Macaca fascicularis: one gene and its partners. The protein of the gene in region 2 purifies or fractionates together with the protein of the main gene of each other region. This does not show direct contact. Links are inferred from orthologs where the notes say so. Each region holds a gene or a part of one and is shown on either strand. Other genes may lie near its edges.

The links.
Region 1: the proteins of DUSP8 (region 2) and MAPK8 purify together in Homo sapiens (affinity purification with mass spectrometry; 3 studies listed by BioGRID and IntAct, counting the BioPlex papers as one, with this or other methods). This does not show direct contact. The link is inferred for Macaca fascicularis from reciprocal best matches to the Homo sapiens genes DUSP8 and MAPK8.
Region 3: the proteins of DUSP8 (region 2) and MAPK9 purify together in Homo sapiens (affinity purification with mass spectrometry; 4 studies listed by BioGRID and IntAct, with this or other methods). This does not show direct contact. The link is inferred for Macaca fascicularis from reciprocal best matches to the Homo sapiens genes DUSP8 and MAPK9.

Annotation. Positions count from the first base shown.
Region 1 is NC_088383.1:57,511,506-57,516,011, reverse strand, and holds the start of MAPK8 (mitogen-activated protein kinase 8), read right to left. Parts: upstream 2,995-4,506; 5' UTR 2,851-2,994; intron 1,581-2,850; exon of another isoform or gene 1,387-1,580; intron 1-1,386. UniProt on the Homo sapiens protein: Serine/threonine-protein kinase involved in various processes such as cell proliferation, differentiation, migration, transformation and programmed cell death.
Region 2 is NC_088388.1:1,476,834-1,480,889, forward strand, and holds part of DUSP8 (dual specificity protein phosphatase 8), read right to left. Parts: intron 3,177-4,056; coding exon 3,010-3,176; intron 2,382-3,009; coding exon 2,222-2,381; intron 2,028-2,221; coding exon 1,904-2,027; intron 1,675-1,903; coding exon 606-1,674; 3' UTR 1-605. UniProt on the Homo sapiens protein: Has phosphatase activity with synthetic phosphatase substrates and negatively regulates mitogen-activated protein kinase activity, presumably by catalysing their dephosphorylation.
Region 3 is NC_088380.1:187,194,211-187,198,819, reverse strand, and holds the start of MAPK9 (mitogen-activated protein kinase 9), read left to right. Parts: upstream 1-1,615; 5' UTR 1,616-1,842; intron 1,843-4,609. UniProt on the Homo sapiens protein: Serine/threonine-protein kinase involved in various processes such as cell proliferation, differentiation, migration, transformation and programmed cell death.

The DNA.
Region 1 (4,506 bases), on a different chromosome or scaffold from region 2:
TAGTTGGGGACTAGTCATTTAACAACAAATTACTTCAAGTTGTTTCACTGAACATCTCATCCTCCCAAGGTCACTTCGATAATATCAGGCATGTAGCAAATACTTAAGATTCTAACCACATTAATTTGTGTACAATGTATTCTTGCACTAACTTCCTTTCCAAATGGCATTTCCCCCGATCTAAAGGAGTGTGAAGGATATAGTTTCCTATTCTGCCAGGACAGGACACTTAAAAGGAGCCCTTTTCATACTTATTAAAGGAATATATTTACTAACAGAATCGATGCTATATCTCTTACTTTAAAGCATAATTTGAAGTGAAATTCAGAGTGACTGCTAATGAATATGGTGTTTCTTCTTGGGGTGATGACAATGTTCTGGAATTGGTGATGGTGATCAATGCACAACATTGTGAATATACTAAAAACCACTGAAATATATACACTCTAACAGGTGAATTTCATGTCAATTAAATTTCAATAAAGCTATTTTTAAAAACCAATAATTTGGAAAACAAAATAACACAACTCTGGTTCTTTACATAGGCTGACTGTGAGCTACTGCCAAAGGATTGTCAGTAACCCCTACTAGAAGCTGACATACCTTAACTAGGTAAAGCAATAAAACGTTGGTATCTCAAAGGTTTTCATCCCTCATCTTAAAAAAGTATCATTTTCTTATTTCTTCATTTCCACTTTACACCAAATAATAAGAAGCTCATTAATTAGTTCACTCTTTTCGTATTCTTTCAAATCCAAAACAAACGCTAAACTGTTCAGGGAGTGGAAAAGAGCTTTAACTTGGATAAATGAATTATTTTGAGTTTTAGGATCATATTTTGTACCAATGTGTTAACACAAGTTAGAACTTAAAACCAAACATTTCAAGTAAACATTTCCAAAATATTAGAAATATTTCTAATAAAACATTTATGTGGCTTTGTCCTCAATTTTTCACAAAATGAGTCACCAAAAACCTTTCAAATAATATTCACAAAATTATAAATGCAATCATTTTAGACCCCTACTGAAATACCAGTTTATGTGTGCCTGTGTGTGCATTACGTACATACACACACAGACACACATAAACTAGTACATACACAGAAACACACACCCCACAACCTACTTTAGTTTATTAATCATATTAAAAAAACATTTAGACAAGATTTTATTTTAGGACAGTGAATGACCTACACGTGATTCAAAAGCCCATGTCATCATAACAGATAATGTACATGAACTGATCATTTAGCCATCTGAAGCGACAGTTGCATGAAGCTTCCAAAACTTTATGGAGAACATTACAGTTTTTTTTAAGGCTTGAATTTAAATATTATCAATTACAAAGAGCTTTTCATCAATCCGACTTTTATTGAACACTTACTATATTCCAGGCTAGGTGGTGGAGAAACAGATGCAAGACAGGCCTGCCCTCAAGGAAGTCCCATTTTGATTGCTTGCTTTTGTCAGGCACAGCACTAAACATGTTCACTTAGAGCATCTGACCTCCTAGGTTTAACGTTAACCACAGCAGGGGAATCTGAGGTAACCATTACAAATGACTGTAAGGCTGCAAGACTGGAAAAAATAAAATTTAGAAATAAACAAAAGCTGTTGTATATTTAGACCAAATCTAATTCTACTTCCTAACATTACACTTGAACTTCCAGATATACTGCTTAAAAAATGACCCAGAACATAACCATACCTTCCTTAACAGACATCTCTTATGTAATTCTCTCATTTAAAGGTCCATCTATTATACTTCAGTCAAAGCATCCTCTTCCATGAAAGGATACCTTCCTTTACCTTCAAACCAAACCTCTTCATCTGGGTACGGTACCGAACAGTTGTTGAATGAATGAATGAATGAAAAAACATGTTCTAATTGCCAAAGAGGTATTTGCTGGATGCCTATCTCAAAACACAATGGACTGACGGACCAGAATTCTACTGGACAGATCGCTGAATTTCAGAGGTAAAAACGGTAATCACTGGACAATGCCATGTAGTTAACATGTTATTAAATTCGCAATAAAGACCAGGCGGGGAACTTTCAGAAATAAAAACGGAAAGTGTTCATCAGGGTACTTTAAAATGGACTTGGTTCTACCATCTCTGAATCCGGAACACAAATGTGAGACAAAGAGATGGGAGGGTGGGGTGAAAAAGTCAAAAGGTCACCACCGAGTGACCCTCAAGAGAAATGTGCGCTGACCACCGAAGCTCGGGCCAAGCTGGATGGACACCTCCCACCCGAACCACGGGCCTGGGCTGTGCCTCGCAGCCCAGAGCTGCAGGCCATCCCGGCCCTTTTCAGCGCTGCTGCCTGCCTTCGCCCAGAACCTGAGCACAAAGAAACCACCGAGAAGCAAAATACGGTCCCCATGGGCGCGGGGCAGGCTTGGGGACCCGCTGGTAGAAGCCCTCTTCCCGGCTCCTCGCCGCCCCGGAGGCAGCCAGGGTGCGGCGGGCCGCGGAGACGCCTCTGTCCGACCCTTGCCGAAGTGTTTCAGAACTTGCCACCCACCCCCCCGCTATTTTCTTCTCCCGCCGCGGAGGCAGGACCCGCGCGAAGAGGACGCGAGAGGACAGGCGGGCGGGGCTCGCCGCGGCGGGCGGGCTGGCGGGTAGCGGAGCGCGCCCAGGTCCCGCAGCCCCACGCCCCCTTGGCCGGCCCCCGCCTCTGCGCCGCTATTGTTCCCGCGCCGCCCCCGCCCGCCGCGCGCTCCCGCCCCCACTCCCGGGAGGGGGTTACGGCTGAGGAGAAGGCGGCGGCAGCGGCACAATAACATAAACACGACGGGGCCGCCTGCCGCCCAGGCCCTGCGGCATCCGCCGCACTCACCCGGCAGCGCAGCGAACGGCGACAGGGAAGCCCGCCAGCGGGGACAGGGGCGGTCCGAGCGGTCGCCGCGGCCGTTACCCAGGTCTGCTCGCCGCTCCGCGATCCTAGCCGCGTCGTCCAGCCTCGGCCGCTCCGCTGAGTAACAGGGACGCGGGCCGTCACCGCGCACGCCCGCCCACGTCATCGCGCAGGGCGCCGCCCCCGCGCCTCCCGAGTGGCCTGCGGGGCGGGGCAGCCCCGGGGCCCGGATTGCGGGGGCGGGGCCGCTGGCCGGGGGCGGGGCTACTCCACGGGGCTGAGAGAACTTGCGGAGGTCGCCTGGAGGCGGAGCCGCGGAGAGAGCCTCCGAGGGCAGTGGGTGAGGGGCGTGGCCAGGAGCGGGAGGGGCGGGCCCTGTGGTGGCACGTGGCGGCGCGTGGCCCCAGGGGACTGCATCTGGTTGGCGGCGGTAGCCAGGTCGGAGCTTAAGGCTTCGGGCCTCGTCACCACAGGGTTTGAAGGGCAGGTGAGCTTAGGCCAAACTTGCGCAGCGAACAGACACCCCTTCCTGGTACACACCTGAGTGATGAAGAGCTGGTTACCTTGACCGACAGTACGTTCCATGCTGAGGACACCTGTCCGGATCCCAGCAACCTACAGAGAGATAAGTGTTCTCTTCAGCTGCCCCGGTAAAGCTTCCTCCAGTTTTTCCAAAATCCACTTCCTCCGAGATTCCTTGCAAATCCACCTCTTCCCAGATTCCTTGCATTACCTGGTTTACCTCTGAGGCCCCACAAAACGTGTAAATGTTACAGAAGCGATAAATTGACAAGCCTTTAAATATCCAACAACAGGTGGAAAGGCGTTTAAGTTACCTACATCCATGCAGTAGAATACATTTTAGCAATTTAAACGCCATGTGTTCAAGGAATTCTTAACAACACAGGAAAATGTTAACAATATATCATTAAGAGAAAGAAGCAAGAAACAAGTCTTATATATAGAACGATCCCACTTAGTTACTATATATACACATAGAAAAAACCTGGAAAGAAATACACCAAATTATGTTAGCAATGGTTCGTCATTGGACTATGGAATAAAGGGTGACTTGGTTCTCTTTTATACTTTGGGTATTTTCTCATGTTTTCCAAGAGGAATAGTTATGTTCACAATCGGAAACAAGTAAGTTACTTTAATAAAGAATATATAAATATTTGTTGAATGAATGAATGATTTCAGGTAGACTACTTTCCTATTACATGTGGGGCTGGCCTCTTTCTGGTGATTCTAAAAGCGAACATACAGGTGATTATTCATTCATTCTCTTCCCATTTCCTCTTTTCCTCCCTCTCAACCTTCTTAATTTCCTTCCTTCCATCCTTTATTCCTGCAATAATTATTTATTGCAGGCCCATTCAGTGCCTAGCAGTACAATAGAGTTTACAGATTTAATCACTGTACTATGAAAGTAATAACAGTAAATGCAAAATTATCACTGTATTATAATACAAATTGTTAAGGATACATAATATTATGAAACTAACTAATACACTAGTTAGTAAGGCCAGAAAAGATTTCCCTGAGGAACTGTCCCTTGAGCTGGGAATAGGTTTGACTAGACAGAGAATATTTTAGAGAGAACTTTGCATGCGAAGGTCCTGTGATGAGATTAAG
Region 2 (4,056 bases):
AGGCAGCGGGGTGCCCTCCCTGCCACCAAGATTTGGCGCCTGGAGCTGGTGGAGGGTTGGCCGCACCGCTCCGGGGCACACCAGCTCCTGCTCCCCCAACCTATGGCTTTGGTGCAGAGCCCTAGGCTGGCGCAGAGAAGGGAGAGAGCAGGAGAGGTGGGTGGGGGAAGAAGGGAGGTTCTGCGGCTCAGTTTGTGGCAAAGAAGTTTTTTTTTTTTTTTTTTTTTTTCCTTTTTTTCACCTTTTTCTTATGTAAAAAGTGCACGAGAGCTCGGCAGCCTTTGCAAAGGTCAGCAGGGTTTCCCGGGGCGGGGGAACTGGGAGGGGCCCCAGGCCTGGCACCCAGCTTGCGACTGAAGGTGGCCTCGTATTGCTTAGAAACGTGTGTTTCAGTTTAAATACCAGACAGTAAAAATAGAGCTCGAGGACCACCCGCACTGTTGCCAAATCATTGCCAGAATGAACAGCTTAAATAAATAAAAAATCGAAATATTTACTTCTCGATAAAAATCCCAGTAAAACCATTTACCTTTCTTTGCATTATATATAATATATATTTATAACGGGCCCGGCTGCGGGCGGCGGAGCCGAGGGCAGCGGAGGGGTCAGGACACCTCGATGACCTCCACGCTGCCCGAGAAGCTCGCCTGCTTGCCCAGGGCGGCCAGCTCCTCGCCGCGCGCACGCCCCTCCACCATGCCCTCCTCGAACTCCATCTGGCAGCTGCGGCGCTTGAACTGCGTCTCCGGGGCCGGCTCGTCCGGCCAGCCGGTCCGCGCGTCCCGGGGCTCAGCCCTCGCTGCCTCCCGCCGCCGCAGGTCGCTGCTGCCGCCGCCCGGTCCCGGGGCGCCCACCCGGCCGAAGGGCGCAAACAGCACCCCGCCCGCCCCCTGCGCGCCCTCGGGGCTGAAGCACCAGGGCCCGTCGGGCGACGGCGTGCCCGGGGAGTCGAGCGGCGGTGCCCAGGCGCCGGGGCCGGCTGGCTGGCCAGGACCGGGCAGCCCGGGCGCCGACAGGGCCGAGAGGCCGTGCCGCGGAGTCTGCCGGGCCGCGTCGCCAAAGTTCAGGCCGAGGCTGTGCGCGGGGGAGCGTGCGGGGGAGCCGGCGGGGGGCCGGGGTCGCCGGCGGGGCCGTGGGCGCGCCTCGGGTGCGGCGTCGGGGCTGTCCGGGCTGGGCGAGGGCAGGCCCAGCGCGGTCCCCGATGGGCTGTCCAGCTTGCAGAGTTTCGGGGCCTCGCCGGGGTCGGGGGGCCCGGGGCCGTCGGGCCGCCTGCTGGGGGCGTAGGCCGACTTGATGTCCAGCGAGAAGGAGCGCTTGAGGCGGTTGGTGTCCTGCAGGCGGTCCGAGGAGAGGTGCAGGCCCCGCAGGCCCTGTTGCAGCGCGCTGGTGGCCGGGGGCGTGGGGGGCGTGGGGGGCGCGGGGGGCTCCCCGCCCGTGCTCAGGCCGCCCTCCCTGGCAGCCGCATTCCCGGTGGCAGCGCTCTCTGAGGTAGGTGGTGGCAGCCGTGGCAGCGGGGCCCCGGCGGCAGGGCTGGGCGGGGGCTCCGGCGTCCCTGAGGGGGTGCCCGCGTCGCTCTGCAGGGCGGCCAGCAGCTTCAGGCTGCGCTCGTACTCCAGCAGCTGGCCCAGGAAGTTGAAGTTGGGCGAGATGGATGGGCGCCTGTCCTTCACGAACCTGCGTGGGGTGGGGGGGGAGAGGCTTAGTCCCAGGCGCCCGCCAGGGCCGGGCTGCCCACCTGACGTCACCCGCTGGGCACCCATGAGCTCATGTGCGCCAGGCTGGTCTCAGGCCCTCCTCCCTTGCCAGGGGTCCTGGACGGTGGGGCCATTCTGGTGCAACTGGGCAGCCGAGGGAAGGCAGGTGACTCCGTGAGTCACAAGCGCGTGACTGGGGAAGGCGGTACCTGTAGGCGTCGTCGGAGGACATGCCCATGGTCTTCATGATGTAGGCGATGGCGATGGTGGCAGAACGGGAGATGCCGGCCAGACAGTGGACGATGACTTGGCAGCTGGAGAGCTTGGCTTTATCTGGGCAGGTGGGCCATGGGGGCCAGGTGAGGGCTAAGCCTGCACAGCTTCTCCCTGGCCCAGGGAGGGGACCCCACCTGCCCGACTGCCAACAGTTCGGGCTACTTCCCCGGGACCCCTCCTGTGCCTGTGGCCACGCCCAGCTCCAGCCTTCCTCTAGCCAGGCCCCCGCCCTCCGCCCGCCACAGGCTCACCGATGAACTCGATGGACTTGTCCAGCCAGGGCAGCAGTTTTTCACAGTAGTTGTCATTGATGGGGACCCTCATGAAGCGGCTCTCGCAGATGAAGTCAGGCTTGGGGCAGGAGTTGCTGGCATTGAGGACGTAGCTTATTCCATTCTGCGTCATCAGATCCTGGAGGGGCGGGAGGACGGGTTGGAAAGGGGTGGGAGAAGCTGGGGGCGGGAGTGAAGGCGGAGGCTTTTCCTGCCCTGCCGTCAGGAGGGCCTTCAGAATCCTGGGGTGGTCCTGGGAGCCTTGGAACCTGTCCCGGATCCCAGTGTATCCAGGGGTGGGCCCAGGAGGCCTCTCTGGTCCACCCTGGCACCCTGGGCCTGTGCGGGGGGTGGGGGCATGGCTGGCCTCCATCTGCAGGCCCCACCCATGGCCGGTGGTGGGCTCCTAGGAATTTTATGGTTGCCTGGGTGGTGGCTTTTACCCTTTTCCCTCGTCACCATGTTTAAAACACGGGATTCTTTCAGAGTTGGACAGGGGCCCAGTGACATCCGAAGCTTGGCATGCCAGCTTCCCGCTCCTCCCCCAAGCCCTGCTGGGCCCTCCCCCAAGCCCTGCTGTGGTCCTGCCGGGGGCAGGGGTGGGGAACCTGTGGTCCTCCTGGGCCCCCACCCATGCTTCTCCCACACCCAGCTCATCCACTGCCTTCAGCTCCTTTCCTCCCTCATCCCCCACGCTGCTGCCAAGCTGCCTCTGGAGCTCCTGCCCCTTTCCCATTGACCGCCCCCCAAGTCCACTGCACACACACCTTGTTCAGGACGTCTTTCTGCGAGCCCAGGTAGAGGTGAGGCAGGATGCGGGTCAGGCCCACGCTGGGCACAGGCAGGCAGGGCTGGGAGAGGCTCATGGGTAGCAGGGCAGCAGGCTTGCCCTCACAGAGGCCGGGGAAGCAGGAGGAGAAGGTGGCGAAGCCCCCTGTAGGAGGAGGCCCGTCAGGTGGGTTGAGAGAACACCTAGGCCTCCCCGTCTGCCTAGGGTGCCCTGTCCACCTAGGGCACCCCATCTACTGCTGAGGATCAGTCACACCCAGCTCAGACCCGAGCCTCAGCCCAGCCAGCAAGCCTCTGGCAGCGCACCTGCTCTGGCCGCGGTGGGGGAGGGGGTGCTGCCACACATTTACAGCCCACACCTACGCCCACATTCCTCCTCACGCTAATTAGGGCCTGACCCAGCCGAGGACGCTGCTATGATGCCGGTAAAGGTGGGGTTGAGGTGGCTGGCCAGTGCGGCAGGTGCTGGACCCAGGCAGGGGCAGGCTCAGAGGTCACAGGAGTCTCCTGCTGAGGGTGTGGGTCACACAGCCCAGAGGAGAGGCCCTCATGAGCACCCCCGTCTCCCATACCCACGGCCGGGAGCCAGGCTGGGCCTTCCTCCTCCCCTGCGCTGATGCAATGCCTCCCTGCCTCCGGCTGGCTGGGAGCCCCAGGCCTGGGCTTAGGTGCCAGGACCAGGAGGCCAGGGCTTCCGAGAGGCCCTCCCCCTCCCCAGGCATGACATCACCCTGGCACAGCCCTGGGGGCATTTGCCATCTGGTTATGGCTCTACTCCACCCAGCAGGGGAGGACAGAGAGTGGAGGAGCCCTGGGCACTGGGGGCACGCGGGGCAGGCAGTGGGCACCCACTGCACATGTGACCGGCGTGTGCTGCTGCCTTCCACACACGTCCAAGTCCGAGGCCATAGGCTGGTGGGAGGAAATCCTCTGCCCCGCACCAGCTGAAAAGACTGAAGTGTGAATCCCTGGATGTCTGACTCAGTGACCATGGGCAGTGCACACCTTGGCTCTGGTCTCTGCTT
Region 3 (4,609 bases), on a different chromosome or scaffold from region 2:
CGCGATGAGCCATGCTGAGATTTAGCAAACTCCCTCTGGTGGCCAAGGAGGACACCATGCTGCATCCGTTCCTCTACCCCACCCCTCCTCTGAGGCTCTGGTGCCTCCAAGCGGCCTGGCCCAGCCCTCAGTGCCCTTGGAATCTGGGTCACAGGCTAGCTGCCCTCCCCAAAGTCTGCAACCACCCTTCACACCACCCAGCCCCTTGCCCTCCCCATCTGCAGAGTCCTGTTCCTTCTCCCAACTCTGGCCCTGGCCACTCCGTGGATACTGGTATTGTGTTACTGCTGTTCTACCCCCCACTCACCATTTGTCAACCACTGTTCCCACTCTTCCAGTCCCCAAAGCCCGGCTCTCCGCGGTTTTCCCCATGTGCATAGCCTCGTGCCGCGCTTCCTGCTTCACTTTTCAACGTAGATCTGGCAACATCCCAAGTCCCGGCCTCTCCCATCCTGTACGACCCCCAGGCCGCTGGTACCTGATCCAGCCTCAAAAGCAACTCAAGAGTCAACGGGTCCCAGTCCCTAGGGGGCCCTGAGCAAGGGACTCCTCGCCCCGCCCCCCACCCCTCTCAGAGACTTGACTGAGCACCTCCCTTTTTTTTTTTTCTGAGACAGAGTCTCACTCTGTCGCCCAGGTTGGAGTGCAATGGTGCAATCTCGGCTCACTGCAACCTCCGCCTCTCGGGTTTAAGTGATTCTCCTACCTCAGCCTCCCGAGTAGCTAGGATTACAGGCGCCCGCAAACACGCCCAGCTAATTGTTTCGTATTTTTAATAGGGACAGATTTCACCTGGTTAGCCAGGCTGGTCTCGAACTCCTGACCTCAGGTGATCCACCCGCCTCGACCTCCCAAAGTGCTGGGATTACAGGCGTGAGCCACCGCGCCCTGCCGCACCTCCCAATTTTTAAATGTTGTCAACTAAGTCACCCCGCCACCAAGCGCACTCCCCTCCTGCGTCACCGACCCATCGGGTAACCTGTCTACACACGGCCATCTCTTCGCACCCCCTCCCCTTCTCCAACCCGACTTCTGGCCTCACCCACACCCCCACAGACCCGTTCCTGCGGCGCCGCAGCGAGCAACCGAGTACAAGGCCAGCCCCGCCTCCCGGGCCCTAGCACGCCGGGCTCCCGGACGCCAGGCCGGCCTCTCCCCGCGATCGCCCCGGGCTCTCCCCGAAACGGGCGGCCTCCCGTGCTGCTCCAGGCCGCCTCGCCGCCACGAGCCTGCACCTGTAGGCGAGGCCCGGCTCCCCGCGGACCCCGCGGTGTGAGCCCCGCGCGCCTCCAGCCCGGTTCCCGGTCCTCCGGGCCACCCTCTCCCCCGAGCTGCGGCCCCCTCGCGCGGACAGCGGGCTCAGCTGGTGGGACGCGCAGTGCCTGCGTCTCCAGCTCACCGCGTGCGCGGCGCGCACCCGAGCGCCATGGCCGGTCGGCCGACGCCACTGAAAGGCCCGGGGGCGTCGAACCCACGGAACCCGGGCCCAGGACCTCGGGCGCCCGACCCGGCCCCCGGCCCCGCCCACACCACCTCCAGCGGCCCGCCCCCCAGGCGCCATTGGCCGCGCCTGCTCCGCTCTCCGCGCGCTGATTGGTCGGCCCGAGGGTCGGTCAGACCGGGCGCCGCGGCGGCGGCAGCGGCAGAGAAGGGAGCGGGACCGGAAGGGTCGCAGCGCCCCGGCGCCCCTCACACCCACTGCGGCGGCGGCGGCGGCGGGGCGGAGCGGAGCGGGGCGGGCCGGTGGCGGAGCCGGGGCCGCGGAGCCAGGAGTGACTAGCACGCAGCGCCGCCAGTCCGCCCGCCCGCCCTCTCCCCGTGGCGCGGCGGCGGGGAGGCGAGGTGAGCCCGGCGGGCGGGCTAGGCCTGCCGGCGGCTGCTCGGGCCGGGCCCGCGGGGAGGGGCGGCGGGGGAACCGCGCGGCCGGGGTTTCGGGGTGGGCCGGGGGCTGCGGGGCCCTGGCAGCCGCAGCCGTCGCCCCTGTGCTCGGGGATGCCGCAGGCGCCCCCTTCCGCCCGGCTGTCAGCGGCTCCGGGCTGCGGGCCTGCTCCCCGGCCTGGCCCGGCCGACCTGCCCGTGGGGTCTGCGGGCGCCATCCCTCGCGGAGGTGGGGCGAACAGCTGCACTCCTGCGCCGGGGGCCCAGGGGCCCGGGGTCGCGTCCCCGCGACCTTGACCAAGGCACTGACCCTCGCTCTGCCGCGGTTTTGCCTTCAGGAAGGTGGGGAAATGCCTCTTCTGGACAGGGTTGTTGTCAGGCTGTGTGAGTGTATGCAGACGCCTGGGCAGGACGCCGGTGAACATTTGTGGAAGATTGGGCAGGGTGCTGGCCCTTGCCGGTGTGAGTGGTGTAGGAACCCCCTCCTCATCCGCCCAGCCTCCCGCCTCCCCACGCACGCCTCCCTTGCCTTGTCATTGCACACTCAGTGTCCAGCAGTGCCGGAGGGGACCCAGCCCACATCCCTTACCACCACACCCCTCTCCCAGAAGACTGCTGCCCCAGTCCACTCATCTCGCCCGCCTTGAACATGCCAGCCCGCATTTGCCCCAGGACCTTTGTATTTGCTGTTTCCTCGTCTTTGGAGTTGTCCGTGATCTTGGCACAAGTAGCTCTTTCTGCTCCTTCCTCTGGCCAGATGTCTCGGTTTGGGTGAGGCCCTCCTCGACCACCCTCTTTCTTCCCTTAGTCATGCTATTTCATTATTTTAAAAATTTCCTTCCTAGCTCTTACCTGGTTTGAAACGTTTCTATTTATTTGCCTGTTTATTTTCTGTCTCCCCGACTAGGATGTAACTTTGTGAAAACAGGTAGCTGTCTGATTTGTCCACTGCTTTATCCCCAGTACTTAGAAAGCACACAGTAAGTATTCAGTAGTATCAGCTCAATGAATGAATGAATGATCAAAGAAATGGCTCAGTCTCCCTGTTGTCTCTGCTTTATCTGTTAATTTAGTGACTTCTGATTAACGTGTGAAACTTGTAAGCAGATGGAAGCTTGTTCTATTTTGTGAAACATTTTGGTGTCCTTGACCCCTTTAATTGCTAACCGTTGGAACAAGCTGTGATGTAAAATCTCACATTTTTATAATGGTTTAGCTCTAGCTTTCTTCCACACATGCAGGAGACATTTACTGAATTCTGCATTATCTAGGTCATGCTTTCTGCTAGGCCCTAGGGACACAAGGCAGATAGCAACAGGGTCCCTTTCCGAAGAGAGCCCAGGAGCCCAGTAGAGAAGGCAGGCATGCAGACACTTAGTTCCAGGACTGTGCAACCCTTGCTGTCGTGGAGGGGCTATGCCATGGAAATGTGGAGGAGGTGACAGGTGATGCTGGGGGGCCTTGAGGGTGATGAGAAATTTGCTAGGCAGGGAGAGGCAGAGGTATGAAGGAGCAGGGCCAGGTAAGGACCATAGCCCACTGTGGAGTTGAGAATCAGTCTGGAGGGCCAGGTGTAAGGGCACAGAGTCGTGGGGACTCTGAAGAACTGGAACCTTACCTAGCAGTTTTCTAGAAGAAGGTGGAATTTGACTAGTGCCATGGCTCACGCCTGTAATCTCAGACACTTTGGGAGGCTGATGTGGGAGGATCACTTCAGGCCAGGAGTTCAAGACCAGCCTGGGCAACAGTGAGATCCCTGTCTCTACAAAAAATTTTTGAAAATTAGCTAGGTGTGGTGGCATCCACCTGTAGTCCTAGCTACTTGGGAGTCTGAGGTGGAAGGATCCCATGAGCCCAGGATTTTGAGCCTGCAGTGAGCTATGATCGCACCACTGTGCTCCAGCCTGGGTGACAGAGCAAGACCCTGTCTCTAAAACAGAAGGCAGCACTCCACATTTGTTCCGATTTTTAAATGTTGGCAATAGCTAATTAATTTTTTTTTTTTTTTTTTAAATGCTGTGAGCCAAGCCAAATACAGATTCATTCAGCTTGGTTGCAGATTGTCATCCTCCAGGAGTGGCTGTGTGGGAGGGAGGAGCTGTGAGGAGAGCAGGAAAGGTAGCCTAAGGCCAGGAGAGTCAGGCCCTGTTTGCCCAGGTGCCAGCCCAGATACTCATTTGATTGTAACTGGAGCCCTGTGGAAACGGAAGCTCAGGAGTTTGAGTAGTCTGCTTCTTAGCAAGCAGCTGGTGAGTGGAATCCGAACCCAGATCTCTCCCTAGATAAGGATTCTTTCCTGAGTCCCTCAGCTCTGAGTATTCTCTTTTGGCTTTTAACTTCTTCTGGAAGAATGACCACCAATCTATTTAATGTTTTCCTTGATTTAACTTTTAAATTTTTCTTCAAAAGGATCCTGCAGAGTTAAAAACAATACTATTTTTGCATAGACTTCTCTGGACAGCTTTGATTTTCCTGGTAATTTAATTTTCAGGGTGCCAGAACATTAATTTGTTCACAGACTAAAATCTGTTTATTTGGTTCCCTGAATAAACATTAGAGGGGATTCTTGAATGTGTCTAAGATAAAATATTTTTAATTTTCTGGATAAAGAAAAGGACCAGACAAACCAGTTAATAGTGACTAGACCAGTTTTCGTGAGACATAAAACAGAGACCAGATTTTTTTTCTTCTTAAGACTATTGATTTGCCAATAGGGCAACTATTTTTGGTC